Oreochromis niloticus: one gene and its partner. The protein of the gene in region 1 purifies or fractionates together with the protein of each later gene. This does not show direct contact. Links are inferred from orthologs where the notes say so. Each region holds a gene or a part of one and is shown on either strand. Other genes may lie near its edges.

Region 1 (7,287 bases):
TGAAGTCCAAAAAACATGGACATCACCAAATGCTGTTTCTCCCATTGAGACCCTCTGCTAGTCTTAACTACTCACTTCCTGCTTGTTTGTACGTCTCTCCCTTCCATTTTATCTTCATTTAATGAAAAGCATGCTCTTCTATGTTGAGATCAGGTGACTCACTTGGCCATTGAAGAATCTCCCATTCTTTTGCCTTGAGAAGTTCTTGGGTTGCATTTGCACTATGTTTATCTGTTATCTGTTAGATGCTTGATCAGTAAACACTTGTGGGGCATATTATGTTCCTTCCAGTAACACTGCGTCTACCATGTTTGGCAGATGACGAGCCATTTCTCTTCCTATTATGACTTCCTTGTTCTTGAGTGTAACCAGTGTTTTGCATCTTGTTGTAAACCCATTCATGAGGGCATCTCTTGATTGTAGACTTTGACAATGATATTGCTAGATATAACAAAAGCGGTTTTCTTACCAAGTAAAGAGATCTACCATCTACTATAGTTGCCTTCCATGGTCCATCAAGGCTTTTGGTGTTGTTCAGCTGGCCAGTGCTTTTCTAATTTTTCATTTTCTTTTTTGAGTATTATGGTGACCCTATTTACTTGCAGCAATCTGACATCATATTAAGAACTCCAGTGAAAATCTACTAGATATTAGTTCAAAACTTTGAATGAATGTCAGATATTATATCTACTTAAAGTTTCATAAAATACACAAGGAATCAACCTCACCCTCACCATGACTGTGATTGTCAATCAACTGTCCAATTACTTATGAGCATCTGAAAATGCCAAAGCAGGTAATGCAATACTTTGTATTAAACCCATTGAATCAAAGTTGAAAGTTGAAAGGTGTCATTTTAACAGTTTTAAACATCTAAAATCTACCTTGGTGGTGCACAGAGGCCAAATTAAAAAGACTGACATTGACTGAATACCGATGGAACTTCCTTAGTGTAATTAGAGTTTATATGGTAAATGTATAGCGCTTTACTAGTCCCTAAGGACCCCAAGGCACTTTACACATCCAGTCATCCACCCATTCACACACTGGTGATGGCAAGCTACATCGTAGCCACAGCCACCCTGGGGCGCACTGACAGAGGCAAGGCTGCCGGACACTGGCGCCACCGGGCCCTCTGACCACCACCAGTAGGCAACGGGTGAAGTGTCTTGCCCAAAGACACAACGACCGAGACTGTCCAAGCCGGGGGTCGAACCGGCAACCTTCTGATTACAAGGCGAACTCCCAACTCTTGAGCCACGATCGCCCCATATAATGGGTCAATATACACAAACACAATCAGGACTGTTTTCACAATTAAATAATTGTTTCAGTGATCTTATTAAGCCAAACCGTCCAAATTTATTTGACTAATTAAGAAAATACTCAGCATATAAAACATCTTAATAGTCACAAGATCTTACCCCCTTTTTTCACTTTATTATTTTCAGGGGAACAATCTCAGCTACTTACTTTTCCTAATCTATCCAAATAAACTCCTAAGTCACAATTTAGCAGCTTGTGATCAAACCTTTTATCCTGGTGGGAGTTAGAAAGTGTCCATGCATAAGGCAAGATGAGTAATTGAATGAAAACTTCTAAACCAAAGTTAACTTTTGCTTTCTTAACCTGTATAAATATTTAATATATTTAATATACCTCTGTTTTTATTATTTTAGATTTTGCAGTTATAATGTAAAATGTTTTGGAAAGCAGGTCCTAGTAGGCACTTTTACATTTCACAGCAGGAAAGGCACAAGTGTAATTATCAACATAAATAACATAAACTCATGTTGGCTTACTGGAGTTGCCTCCTGGTTTTCATAGCTGAAATAAGCAGCCATGAATCTCTTCACATACACTGATGCAATTCAACATGTAAAGCTGTTTATATTACTAGACTGTCCATTTATACACTACCCCCCCCCGGCCCCCTTTTTATACCCCTTTTGTATTTTTCCCTGAGAAGCAAATGCTTGTTCATCTACACTGCTATTTAGTTTCAATTCCTTAAACTTGCTTCCTATGCCTTGAGCTTGCTTGGTAGCTTAACACAAACCAAGTTCCCTAACCAGGCCCTACATTTGTCAGTGTCTTTTAACAAGCCCATCTTTCTTACTTTGCCCAGAGTTACTCCCATGGCCAAGTCACAATGAATTATCATGACAAAACAAAAATGCACACACAAGTGGACAAATGGGGACAAGGGGTCAGACCCAATTTCCTGTGTCACAGGGCAACTAATAGAAAGGAAAGTGTTCTCTGACTCATAGACCATCTCACTCAGCAGATCTCTATTCCCCTTACATTCCCCCTCCCTACCATAGATTTCTGGCTGAAGTTGTCTGGATGAAGAGACCGCTGGAGCTGCAAGTATGTTTTCTGCAGCTTTTGTGTGTCCAGTGTGAATGTGTAGTCACTGAAAAAGGTAACACATGATAAAATGAATAGACTGGATTCATTTGGAAAGCTTTTTAAGATGGTGACATATGTTAAGGTAAACAAGAAACTCACCAATCCATGATCTTGAAGTAGGATGTCCCTTCTACAGGGGGCTGCACTGCTTTGCATGACACGCAGAAAAATGCAGGTCTTTTGTCAAGAAGATGCTTACAGTTCCAGCAGTTCAATTTAATTTGACTTGTGCAGCAATTCCTGGGTGAAGCGGATTGATTAGTGAAGTAAAACAGCTCTCTCTCCTTTCTGAGTGCTCTGAAGTTCATGTTGCTGTGCCATGTGCCCCTCCTGTGGAGGCTGGTAGACATACTGTAAGCTGTACATGTAACAGCTTTAGAAACAAGCAATCGGTTGGTGGTTAGCCAGCTTGGGTGCAGTACAGCCCGGGATGAGCCAACAATCCTCAAAGAGTTGACAGACAACATTTCTGGAATTAAAATGCACTACTCGCTGTCGTGCACTCAATAAATACACAAAATGTTCACTGTCAAAACACATCTCTTTCCGGAAAAACAAACGAAGAAGAGCGTTCTTCTTCTACGTTTTGTAACACTGTCACACTGCCGCCGCTCGGTGGGTTTCGAGTTCTTGATGGAAAACCAACAGCTAGCTGGCAACAGCAAACGCAATTTGTGAGGAACTATTGATAAAGTAGCCTTAGTTTTGGACGCAGCACACCAATTGAAGTAAGCTGAACACCTCACAAAATGTTCAGTGTTTGTTAGTAGTGTACTAGTGTCGTTTTAGGTGCGGCTTTTGCCGAGGATGTAACGATAACAAGAACCCCTGGTCTGCATGTAGCTAGCTTAGCTCACTAGCTGAACAGTATAGCTTAGTTTGCGAACATGTCTTAACAACAAAAAGCCTTTATTCGTGGTCGGTACTGACAAATAAGCTGGTTGTTGTCAGATTCCAGTTCACGGCCTTAAAAACAGCGTTTCATGTTATTTAAGGGCACATGTGAAGAAAAAAAGCACCCGGGTTTAACTTTATGTTGAGTAGCTTGCTCAGCTAGCTGGATGACAAAGGCATCCCATGTTATGGTTGAGCGGTGACAAAAACAAATTCAAACTAGCTTATTTTTATTATTATTTTAAATAATCACCCATTTAAGAAGCATCAGCTTAAAACATCACTTAATGCACGCTTGCGTAACTTTAATTGCCTTTTTCAGAAAGTCTAGAAAACTGCATTTTCATACCAATTGGGTTGTTTTGTTTTTTTCTTTCAGATTCAACTGCATTCTGACAAAAGAGGCAATGCTTCATGAAGAGTTCTGGATACTCAGTGAGTGGCTAGTCCGCCAAGGACATCATCAGGCACTGGAGCACAGATAACACCTCCAAACTTGTGAGTATTTTATTGACTAAGAGTACTTGTTGCTGCTTCATCGTCCAAGAGTACTTGTTGCTGCTTCATCGTCCATCCATACAGGCGGTCGCAATACAACAGCTGCTAGCTGTGTGAAGAAAAAAAATTCTCTGAACACTGGCCAGTGTAAATATGCTTATTTGGCCAAGAATCAGACTAGGCGTCTCGACTATTTGTCATTACAGTTTCCTACCAAAGTACAAGCTCTGTGATGAATGCCAGGTCTTCATTCTTGGTGTGTGTGTGTGTGTGTGTGTGTGTGTGTGTGTGTGTGTGTGTGTTTTTGGGAGGGTGCAAAAGCTGACTGTAGAGTATTCCAGAGAGACACTTGTTGGAGACAGCAGCTTCTATAAGGTAAACAGGATCTCTTCCTGAAGGTCGAGGGAGGTACTTCTCAAGGCCCCCACAGACAATACTCTGGGTATTATTAACGGAAACCGCTAAGAATAGAGAGCAGGGGAGCAAGGTGGCTCCTCTGGCGGTCACGTTGTTTGGGTTAAACAAGCCAAAACGGAACATCTTCTTAAGAAGAGTGACTTCTCGAGCTTTCATGCTGGGTGTGGCAATTTAGAGGGCTTTATCTGGCTCTGATGTACAGCAGAGGTAAGGGAGATTAGTTGTGGATTGCTCTTGGCTGTTTATGTATGGAGGACTTGTGCTTTACAATTGGAATTTGTAAGTAAAACAAATTTTCATACCTAATAGGACATTGTTAACCTATCATTTTACATAAGCTATGTATTATGTGACTTTTTTTTCAATTTAAAAATAATAGTTTTGGCTTGTCCAGCAATATCCCCCAGACAATGCATTACCTACCTACTAAAGGAAAGAGTCTCTGTATGTTTTTGTGTCTGTTTACTCAAACATTCATCATAAGGAAGGTGATATATCCTAGTATTGGGACAAAATTTTCCTGCAATGCATTTTTGTACAAATTGCAAATGAATAAATAAATGAATACATACATGTATGTATTTACTCAGACATACATGTTTGAGTAATCATGTCTGGTATGTCATTACTTGTGTTTCATAAGTTTGTCAGTTATATTTGGATGATGAATTGATTTTGTGTTAATCAGCTGACTTCACTTTGTGTGATCTAAAATTTTTGAGGAGATATTACTTTTTATTGGAGTTTGACTAATCTATTCATGTTTCTTCTTTCTGAAGGAAAAATTATATCAGACAGTATATTGGAATTGGATCGGATTTTTTTGAATCACCAAATATTGGTATTAGTATTAGTACAACCAATACAAAGCTAATAGCAAAGAAATCAGAACGATGTTAAATGATAATTCAAAGGATTTAATAAAAAGTGTTGGATTACCTGTTTTGGCATTTTCAGATGCTCGCAAGTTACTCCTTTAACGATGTTAAAGGAGTAATTAGCAGTCGGGCTTATAACGCTATAGCCTCCAAAGTAGCATTGCTTTGGCTACAGCATTTTTCTCTTTGGATCCTATTTGGGCTGGCTTAATTATCTTTACTGTCACCTTTGTGTTAATACCTACATACTAAAAGAAACATCTTGAGTGTGCCCTTGTTAGAGTATGGGTTTGTGGCATTTTGTGGGACTGTAGCATAAGGTTTATGTTGTTAACTCATGGTAATGTGACAGTGTACATTATGTCATACCACCTTGTTAATAATGCAAAAGTTATATAATGAGCAGTGTAAGGAATTCCTTTCTTCAGCGAGTAAATATGTAACAAAGTGAATTCATTTTTAATTTTGGTGACTGTATCCACAGCAGCTTAGTAAGGCTGTCTGCGTGTATCTTCCATCCAATTTGAAATTGTCTCACATGCTGGATTATGAGCAACTCCACTATCTGTTATATCACCACAGTTGTGATGTAAAAACGAATGAGTAATGAAAGTCGAGTTTCTGTTTAATTATTTAGCAATGGTTATTACATTAACATGTGTATGTGCTTTGTTCAGTGAACGTATTCATGGCCACCCCACCATAAGAACAATTTAAATCTGTGGGTAACTGTTCAAAATTCACATTTTGAGGTTGGTTACACACTTAAATGATAAATGAACTGGAACTTATATGGTGCTTTTCTACTCAATTTGAACACTCAGAATGCTTTCTTTCAACAAGTCTCATTCACTCAAGCACATGCACATCCATACAGCACTTTTTATCTAATGTAAAAAGCATGAGTGAGTGGGCAACTTGTATTCAGTGTGTTTTCCTTTAGCAATACTGTTTTCCCCTAAAATAAGTCATTTTGTGACTTACTCATGCTTCGTAAATTACATTCCACATACAATTAAATTAAAATGTTTCTGAACTTGAGTGCCAAAATCTTTTAATATGCATTGAAAACCCTGCTTCATTAATTGGCTACATTACTTGTAGAGGCCGAAAACCCCATGTTAAACAGATGGATGAATCTCATGTTGTCTGATCACTGTATTATTGTAGGGTCTTTATCTTACAATGTAAATTGCCTTGAGGTGGCTGCTGTTGTGCCTGTTTTAGTTTTGGTACTCAGATTTTGTGTTATAATTGGCATCAGAATAGAGAAGTGGAATTTATGTATTATTACTGCTGACGAACAGTAATAATACAACCTCTCACGATTAACAAGTGTGAAATTACTGCCTGCCTAACTTAGTCATTTATCACGTTTACACCTTGCATACATATTGAAGGCAGCTGTTTCTTTGCCTGTATTTTTTTTTCTTAACATAGGCAGCCCATTAATACTTCACCTTAATCTTGTAGGAGTAACTTAAGATGCAGATAAATTTAATTTATATTTTATTGATTGCCATTTGGCCCTAACATTTGAAATGACTTGTCTGGTATGACAGTCCTTTGAAAGCAAGATTAATTGAGCCTGCTTAACAATAGGTAAATCAATAACATGGTAGTCCACCAAGTAAAGTTAAACACCAAAGTCTTTGTCACAATCGCTATTCATTACTCCTGACAGCCTTCAAATTAACCATGGTCAGCGTTCTGATGTGTGCCCTTGTTAGTTAGAATTATAGTATTGATTTTTCTGCTAGGTTTTTTGTCGTCGTTTAGGCAAAGGTTGCTTAAGCACTACAGGGAAGGAGTGTTTAATTTGTAAACAGACATTTCTGTATTGTTCTGATGTTTGACAGGGGTCTTTAATTCAATACATCACTGTCTACATTCTCTACGTTCCCACAGATAAACCATGATCCCCATCACCGAGCTGCGGTACTTTGTGGACACACAGCCAGCATACCGCATCCTGAAACCTTGGTGGGATGTCTTCACCGACTATATCTCTATTGTCATGCTCATGATTTCTGTTTTTGGGGGAACACTGCAGGTCACCCAGGACAAGATGATCTGCTTGCCCTGCAAATGGGTGGTCAATGAAACCTGCAAGAAGAACTTCAATTCAAGCATCACATCATCAGTGCCCAAAGGGATCCAGTATGATTTGGACCGCCACCAGTAC
Region 2 (8,008 bases), about 8.9 Mb from region 1:
CACTGAGCTTTCGTTCTTCAGCCCTGACGGCGCGTCCGTGACGTCAGGTGAATGATCCACGCTCTCTGTTTACATGTTTCGGCTCTCGTTTACCGTTTTGGCTGTTTGCTGGTTGTTGAAATAGTTTTGTGAGATTTAACCTGAGATTTTAGCGTTTCTAGCAAAATACATTTACATTTAAAAATCGATTCAGGATTTAATGCATCGAAATCACTTTCTTCAAACTAAAATCGACTGATTTTTTAAACCCACTCCTGCTCTGACTCCATTTAAGCTCCTTTAAACAATTTTCTGTGTAAAAACTAAAACACCTGATTTCCCTCGTTTCAGTTCCCCTGGAAACAAACTTTTTAATTTTCTTTTTAATTCCTGAAAAAAAAAAATAGTCACATGACTCTTCATCTACCCAGAATGCAGTGCAGACGCATGAAGAACAATATGAATGATATTTCAGAGGGAGACATGAAGCCTGACCGTCATCAACACATTAACAGATTAACTCTGATGGTTTTGAGTTTCTTAAACATGAATATGAAGAATATGAGTTCGTCTTCATCACAGACACGTTTTATTGTTACAGACATCAGATAAAATTCATTACTGTCAACATTTGTTTCACTGCAGCTTCTATCGCTGCTGCGGCCTTCATAGCCCGTCTCCTGAGCACGATGGCAGCAGTTTGATGGCGCCGGCGTCTTTCAGAGGTACGGCAGTGCGATTCAGAGGTCACACGGTTTCAGCCGCACTCTTTGGGTTTGGAGAAGGAGCCCAGCTGTTTGGTGTTGACGTCCCTCAGCTGCTCCAGCTGCCGCTGGCCCCGTCGGTACAGATACTCGATGTGCATCACGTCCGTCTTCTTGATGCGGGAGTTCTCTCTGAACTCGTCGCGGATTCGGGGGACGAAGCCCGGTTTGTCCCGCCCGGCTCGCAGGAACTGCCGGTACAGAGCGAGGACCTGCTTCTGCAGCTTACTGTGCCGCAACATCAGACCGAGTCAGCAGAGACAAGAGTCCAATCAGAGGGCAGCTACGCACACATGACGCTCCAACACCGGCGTGTCTCCGGCTGCACTCCCTCACACGTCCACTCTGAACACACCACGAGGCTCAGCTTCACCCGTTTCTTCTCATTCAGGGTCTTAAAGAAGATGTTTGCCTGCAGGAAGAACACAAAGAGAACCGAACAACAAAACAGCATTCAGGCAGATTCATCACGTCACGGTCGCTAGTTTTATTCTCCCACAGGAGAAACTGACACCTTGAAGACACGACAGAAGGCATCTGCTCACCTGCAGCTCCACATTTGAATCCTGCAAGAACAGCTTTGCATCAATCAAAGTTCAAAATAATCCTTCTTTATCTCATGTTCTCTCTCTCAGCCTCCTAACATGCCTTCCTCCTCTCCTCCTCGGACTTCGGTCAACAGCAGCACAGTTTCCCCTGAGCCAGACTGAATATAACAAATCTTCTCCTTTTACCTGCTTGTTTTTATTCAGAATGCATTCACTGGAGTTCTGATGAAGGAACACGTTTTTGGCTCTCGCTGTTTCTGATCTTTAACAAAGGCACAGATCTAACAACACAAACACAGCTGTACTTATGTGTGTTTCATATTCCTGCACAAGCATGAACGTGCACGTGAGCCCAGACTGTTCACACAGGTGTCGACCTGCACGTAAAAGCACGTTTTTATTTCAGTAAAGACTCTTCCTCCGTACTTTTTTTTTTTTACCTGACTGCCTCTCCTGATTTTCTCATCCCTGATTGGTTTCTGTGATAATTGAACTCACCTGGCACACGTTATAACAACAACAGAGTTTAGGTGTGTCTGTCTCTCGCTAAAACACATTTCAGCTAAAATAACATGAATAAGTGATCTTTGGATTCTGATTGGATGCCCATCCTTTGACCCTCCTGAGTAACAGTTTTTACAGTAACACATACAGTAGTATTAGCATTACTTATATTATAGTACTACACGCAGTATTACCAGTAGCTATGGCTTATGAAAGTAACCCACAGCCGGTATTTGCCAAAAACTGATTGCTCGTATTTAAACTGCTATAAGTAACTTGTTGGGCTATAATATGTGAAACATATGTCAAATGCATCCCTCATGGATGACATAAAGTCATCTGGAGCCACAAACAACATTTGTGTACCAAGGTAGAAGCTGCAGTCAGTTTTTGCCAGTGACTTTTATATAACCTTTATTTATGCAGTTAAAAAGAATCTCATTAACATTAAAAATGTCTTTTGTAAGAGTAAGTTGGCCAACAGGACAGCAGAGATGGCAGCAAATATTACAATAGTTCTGTAAAAATATTTTAAGTGGGGATAAAGGAGCGGATTGGTTATAATGTAAGTACAATAACACAGAGTTGTAAAGATACTTGAAAAACAGATAATATTTTAATTCTATATAAAACCCCTTTGTAAACGCTGTTCACCGAAGTCTATTTACCAACATACGTAAAGATATTACACATAAAAAATACACGGAAACATTGGAAATCAGTCTTTGGCACAACACCAGCGGCTGCTGGACCTCAGAGGATTGATCAGTGAGAGCGATCAGTTCAACTTCCTGTTTACCTGACGGAGTTCCGCTCAGACCGGTTCGGACCGGCTCCGCTGCTTCACCTGTTTGTCCTATTCCACCGTCACAGGTACGTCTCCCGGCTCTCTGTGAGCAGCTCCTCTGTGACCTTACTGCGTTATAACACCGGCCTCAGCCGCAACGACCAGGACAAACTACAAAACACGTGATTTCCGGGTCAGATTTTCACAATAAAGCACGCACACAGACAAATTAAAGCTCATACCCGTTTTAAGAACGCTGCTCCTGATTGGTTAGAGCTCAGTTACCTTCTGATGTGTTTATCTGAATCTGGACCGTCCAAAGCGCCCGTGGGGGGGGGGCTGTTCGAGTGGGTTAAAAGCTCTTACTGCGGCGGCGCGGAACAGGAAGATTAGTAGCACTTCCGGTGTCACCTTCTGGAGTCAAATGTCAAGACAGGCGAGCTGAAGGAGGGGGGCTCGTGCTTTTATCACCGGCATCTGTTTCCGGGGGGAAGGCTTCGGCGATTTATGACGCCGGTACCTGCGGAGAAAGTAACGAAGTACTTTTAGTGAACTACAGTTTTCAGGATTCAGATCCGACAGTAAGAGAGGAAGCTCTCCCAGCGTCTGTCACACCTGGTAGACACCAGAAACACCACACCTGGATCACAGGTGAGCCTCCGCGCGCTTGCAATCACAGCCTCGAGCTCTGCGGTGTTTTTTTTAGCTGATGAAGACGCTCTCTGTTCTTCCTCTTACAGACATGGAGATGACAGCTGAGGAACAGCAGCAGGTGGAGGAGCAGGTGGAGAGGCTTTTAAGTGGGCAGGGGTCAGAGGTCACTGTGTGTGATGTGGGCCTGGAGCAGAGCAAACCCGCCACCCTGAGGAAGAACGTCACCTACATCGTCTGTGCTGTCATCTTCAATGAGAAGGTGAACAGAGGTCACCACAGGTAGCCACTCCGTCTCATCAATACCCTTAAATGATTGCTTATTTAATTAATTAACACTCCTTCAGGAGGAGGTGCTGATGGTCCAGGAGGCCAAACCGGACTGTTACAAACAGTGGTATCTTCCTGCTGGGAGGGTGGAGGTGGGGGAGAGCCTGGAGGAGGCGATGAAGAGGGAGGTGAGTGAGGAGGAGCCTGTAAGAGTAAGAAGCTGCAGCTCCTCCAGCGTCCAGCAGGGGGAGCAGCGAGTCAGGCCCCATAGACTCCCATGTTAAAACAAACCTGTTTACAGCCTGATACACAAACAGTTTGGTCTCTGTGGATCATATACTCCTTCATAACAGCTGTACACGGAAGAGCGTTTCTATTACTCACCTGTTCAAATTGTATTCAGGCTTAAAGTTTGCATTATTAGAGGCGTGGCCTCTTTGACTGACAGGTAGATGGTGGTACAGGTGGCTGTAGCAGCTAGCTGTCTGCTAGGCTTCACCTTAACTAATGGGAGTCCCTGAACTGGACCCCTGGACCCTGTTTGTGCTGTTGGACCCTTTTGGAGCTTTTTAATGACATCATGTGACCAATAATATGCCTGCTGTGAGGTCACTGTTAAAACAGAGCATCCAAGGAGGCGGAGCTACAGTTCAGATATTACTGAGCACTGATTAGCAGATATGTGTTTGTGTGATGTTTGCATAAGCTCTGTGAATGCAGCTTGCCAACTTTCTAACCAAGATATGCCAAATACGGTCACTTAAGGTTGAAAAAGTCAAAATACTGAAATAACAGTTTGTTTTTTCATTGGGTAAGCACCGCCTTCCTTGCTTGCCCTGACAGAACAACACTGCTTTACAGAGATCAGGGGGCGAGGAGGAGGAGTGATCTGGCTTTAACATCAGTGTTATGTCACCTGTGTGAACATGTTTGTTTTTTGTATATCAATAAAATGTCTGAAAAATCATAATCAGAGGCTTTGCTTGTTTTGAACCTTTTTAACATTGGAGTCTATGGGAATAACTCGCTGGTGGAGCCCCAGGTGGACGTTAGAGGAACTGCAGGTTTTGGTGTTTCAGTTTTTTCTTTTTTAAAAAAAAACTCTTTTATTACAGTTTTTTCTGATGGCTTAAGCACATTTTTTGTAACTATTGGCTATTTTTGCAAAACTCTACACACAAATAAGAAAACTCTTCACCCAATCAGCAAAACATTGTAGTTTCCTTGTAAAAGCGAATAACCTTTGCTTAACTCTCCACACCTTTGTAAAAATGGTATTTTCGTATCCAACAGTTAACACAAGCCATCATATTAATAAGCACACAATGCACCAACTACACACTGATGGTATGAATGAAAACACATCTGGCTTTTGCTTTCTCTGTGCACAAGGTAGGCTATGTCAGATTGAGCTCATACTTTTGTCATAGATCCGTAAGCATAGAGGGATCCAAACTTCAAGTACTGCTGTTTATTCACACACATCAAAACAAACACAAGTGTTTATTTCCAAGTATAGGATTATTTCCAATCACCATATTGACTATATGGGTTTCTTGGTCTGCAGTGAACATGCTTCCTCTGCTCCCAGCATCTGGTCGTCTAGCAATTCTGTAAAGTAACAATTTCAGTATTTTTACATCTATGGTATTGTTGTGTTTCTCATTAGCATGGCAGTGCTACAGATCTTAGTGCAAAGTGACTGTACTAACCGACTCTCATTTCAAAATGTCCTTATGATGCTTGCTACAGTGTAGCGGCTCGAGTTAGGCTGAACCCGTTGGCCTCCTCTAATTCTCACTCTTCCTGCTCCCTCCATTGTACTCCACACACACAGAGCTTACCTGTAGCTTATTTAAAGTGCTTAGGCTGATTGCAAAGTGATCTAATGATCTAAAAAAGTTTTCACATGTGACAGTGTGCCAGACAGTTGGCAAAATAGTGTAAATAATGGCTATAAATGTGTAAAGTTTTGCTAGGAGTGTGTTGATCATTTGGAAATTGAGTGTAAAGCCGTGAGTTGTGTGTTTACAGTTCTGCAAAAAGAGTGCTGTGCAGTGGATTGTAGCTACAGGTTTGCAAAGTGTGTGTTACAAAATGGCAAACTGAGTGCAAAGCAGTGTTTGTGCTTTTAGTTTTGCAAACTCAGTGAGTGGTTTTGCCATAAGTATTAATAGTTTTAGAAATTGTGCTATAAGAATCACAGTTAGGGTTTAAGCATTCAGAAAAAACTGTAAGAAAGTACATTGAACATAACAGTAGTATGACTCTCTACATTGCTTTTGCTTTCAGATTTGTAAACTTATAGTTGAAAACCCCCCCCGTAAGAACTTGGGTTGGGGGTAGTGGGGTAGCCAAGTTAGCTTCGCGTTATTAGCATGGGTATTTCAATCAGTGCACGAGCATAAAAGTGGCAGGCTTGATAGAAAATCCCACCTCACAGGCTCAAACATATTCTGTAGAAGGTATCCGTCTGCACTTTGAGAGAGAAAGACAGTTTTTCCATGGTATAGATGTCTTCTACAGAATATATCCAGTCTTCAGTCAGGCTTGAACCATCTCCTCGTGAGGGCCTGTTTACTCACATCCGGCAGTCCCAGGAATTATGGAAATGGTTAGCACCATCTCCTCCACATCTCCAACAAGTGTCACCAGTTCCCAGATACCTTTTCTGAGCAGGGGGATGAAGAATCTCATGATGCTTTTCCAGCAAAATTCACGCCAAACAACAGTGGTAGTCCACTGTATGCATATGTGGTCCCAGCACTCCTCTGAAATGGTCAGGTTAGCTTTTTTCCCCCACTTCACTTTAACAAACAGTGCTTTTGTTTTTACACAGGATGCTGTTGTATAATCTGGAAATGATTTTATTGTGTGCTCCAGAATTAGTTAATGATACAAATGTTACTACAAATCGTAGATTGTTTATATTCACTTTCAGGTCTTGATTAAAATAATTTCTGACCTGTAGATATCTGAAGAAATCGTCTGAGCTTAAATCATATTTTCTCCTTAAGGTTTCAAAGCTTTGAAACGCCCCCTTGTGGACAGATGATAATAATTAGTTAGGCCTTTTGGAATCCAGTTCCTGAAGCTCTTATCGCACTGATTCAGGGTAAAGTCTGAGTCATATATGCTCCATCTAAAGACTTTAGAGGCATTTTCAAACCACAAATTCTTATTGCTTCACTCCAAGCAGATATCATTACTTGTAGGATGGGTTCATCTGGCAGGTTTGTTTTGTTCTGTAGCTTTGTGTCTGATATTAAAGCTGTAGCTGGTATTACTTTAACATTTGTTCCTTCCAGATCTTTCCATCCCACAGTGTAATCTAAACAACAGAGACATATCAATGGCCTTTTTGTGGTGTGGGAATCTGTAACGACTGAAACAAATGCAGCATGTTTAATCTAATGGATTCAATCCTAGAGTGTAGGTCCAATTAGGGATGGTATTCCATTATATCAGATTTTATGGATTCATTCACAGGACCATAGTTGGCATCAAACATTTTGGTGACATCACGATGTATTACCACCCCTACGTACCTAATTTCCATTTCCAGCGATTCTTAATTTCGATTGGTGGATCGTAGTTTAGAGTTAGTACCTGCGTTTTGTTTACATTAACCTTGTATCCTGAGAAACTCTGAGAGCATTTCCATGATTTTGGGGAGTGCCTGTGTGGGACAGGATGTAGTAGGTCGTCGGTGAACAGTGCTACTCTCTGGTCCCCTCCTGCCGTTCTTACTGTCTCTGCCTGATCCACTGATGGTTCTGTAAACAAGCTGTTTCTGATGATTTAACGATCTTCACAGCGTAGCCTCTACTGGACATGTCCTTAATGGCTTCCACCGCTGTGTTGTAAATCTTTGTTTATCGGTATATTTCACCTTAGCTAAGCTGGAGGGGATCTGCTGCTCTTTCAGAGTCTTGCACGCGTTGGCGTATTCTCTTGGTTTTTTTAGAATCGGGGGGTTAGTCATGGTCCAAACTCACGTGGTTGGAGGTAAATCCTCTGTTCTGCCATGCCTTACGAAGCAGCAGTTCCTTTGTTTTGAAGCTGAGGAATTTCACAATAATAGATCGCAGGGGAGCGTCGCCTGGGGGTGGTGCGCCCGTTCGATGCGTACGTCAAGTTTATCTTGGGACAGCCCAGGCCTTCCCGCGGCAACTTCTCAACAAACTCACTCATTGTTGTAGAGCCCGCTCTGCTGTCGCGGGTACAGCATAAAGGCTCTGTAGGTCTGTCAGTTTGTCCTCCACCTTCACCTGTAGCTTTATTTTTTCAATCATGGCAACCTCGGTGCTCTCGATCCTCCCCTCAGCCTCGTCCAGTCTGGCGCTCACCTTTAGGATTTCTTCCTTCATCTCCCCAGTTTTGCACTGTTTTCTTGGCGAAAGTCTTTTATTTCCTGTAACACAGTGTCCAAGTCAGCCATATTTCAGCCGTTGCTTGCTGGGGTTGGATCACAGTGTGCGGCAGCAGGTTTGCAGTGAGAGGTG

Evidence for each region. Proteins that work in one complex are often made in the same cells at the same time.
Region 2: the proteins of hscb (region 1) and sdhaf1 purify together in Homo sapiens (co-immunoprecipitation; 3 studies listed by BioGRID and IntAct, with this or other methods). This does not show direct contact. The link is inferred for Oreochromis niloticus from reciprocal best matches to the Homo sapiens genes HSCB and SDHAF1.

What each region holds. Positions count from the first base shown.
Region 1 is NC_031977.2:29,299,069-29,306,355, reverse strand, and holds the start of hscb (iron-sulfur cluster co-chaperone protein HscB), read right to left. Parts: upstream 3,022-7,287; 5' UTR 2,883-3,021; coding exon 2,515-2,882; intron 2,420-2,514; coding exon 2,323-2,419; intron 1-2,322. Other genes in the region: lrrc8ab (volume-regulated anion channel subunit LRRC8A), read left to right, coding at 7,018-7,287.
Region 2 is NC_031977.2:38,181,001-38,189,008, forward strand, and holds the start of sdhaf1 (succinate dehydrogenase assembly factor 1, mitochondrial), read right to left. Parts: upstream 3,009-8,008; 5' UTR 2,868-3,008; exon of another isoform or gene 2,825-2,867; intron 2,754-2,824; 5' UTR 2,595-2,753; intron 1,156-2,594; 5' UTR 986-1,155; coding exon 737-985; 3' UTR 1-736. Other genes in the region: 8-oxo-dGDP phosphatase NUDT18, read left to right, coding at 3,325-3,495, 3,581-3,691.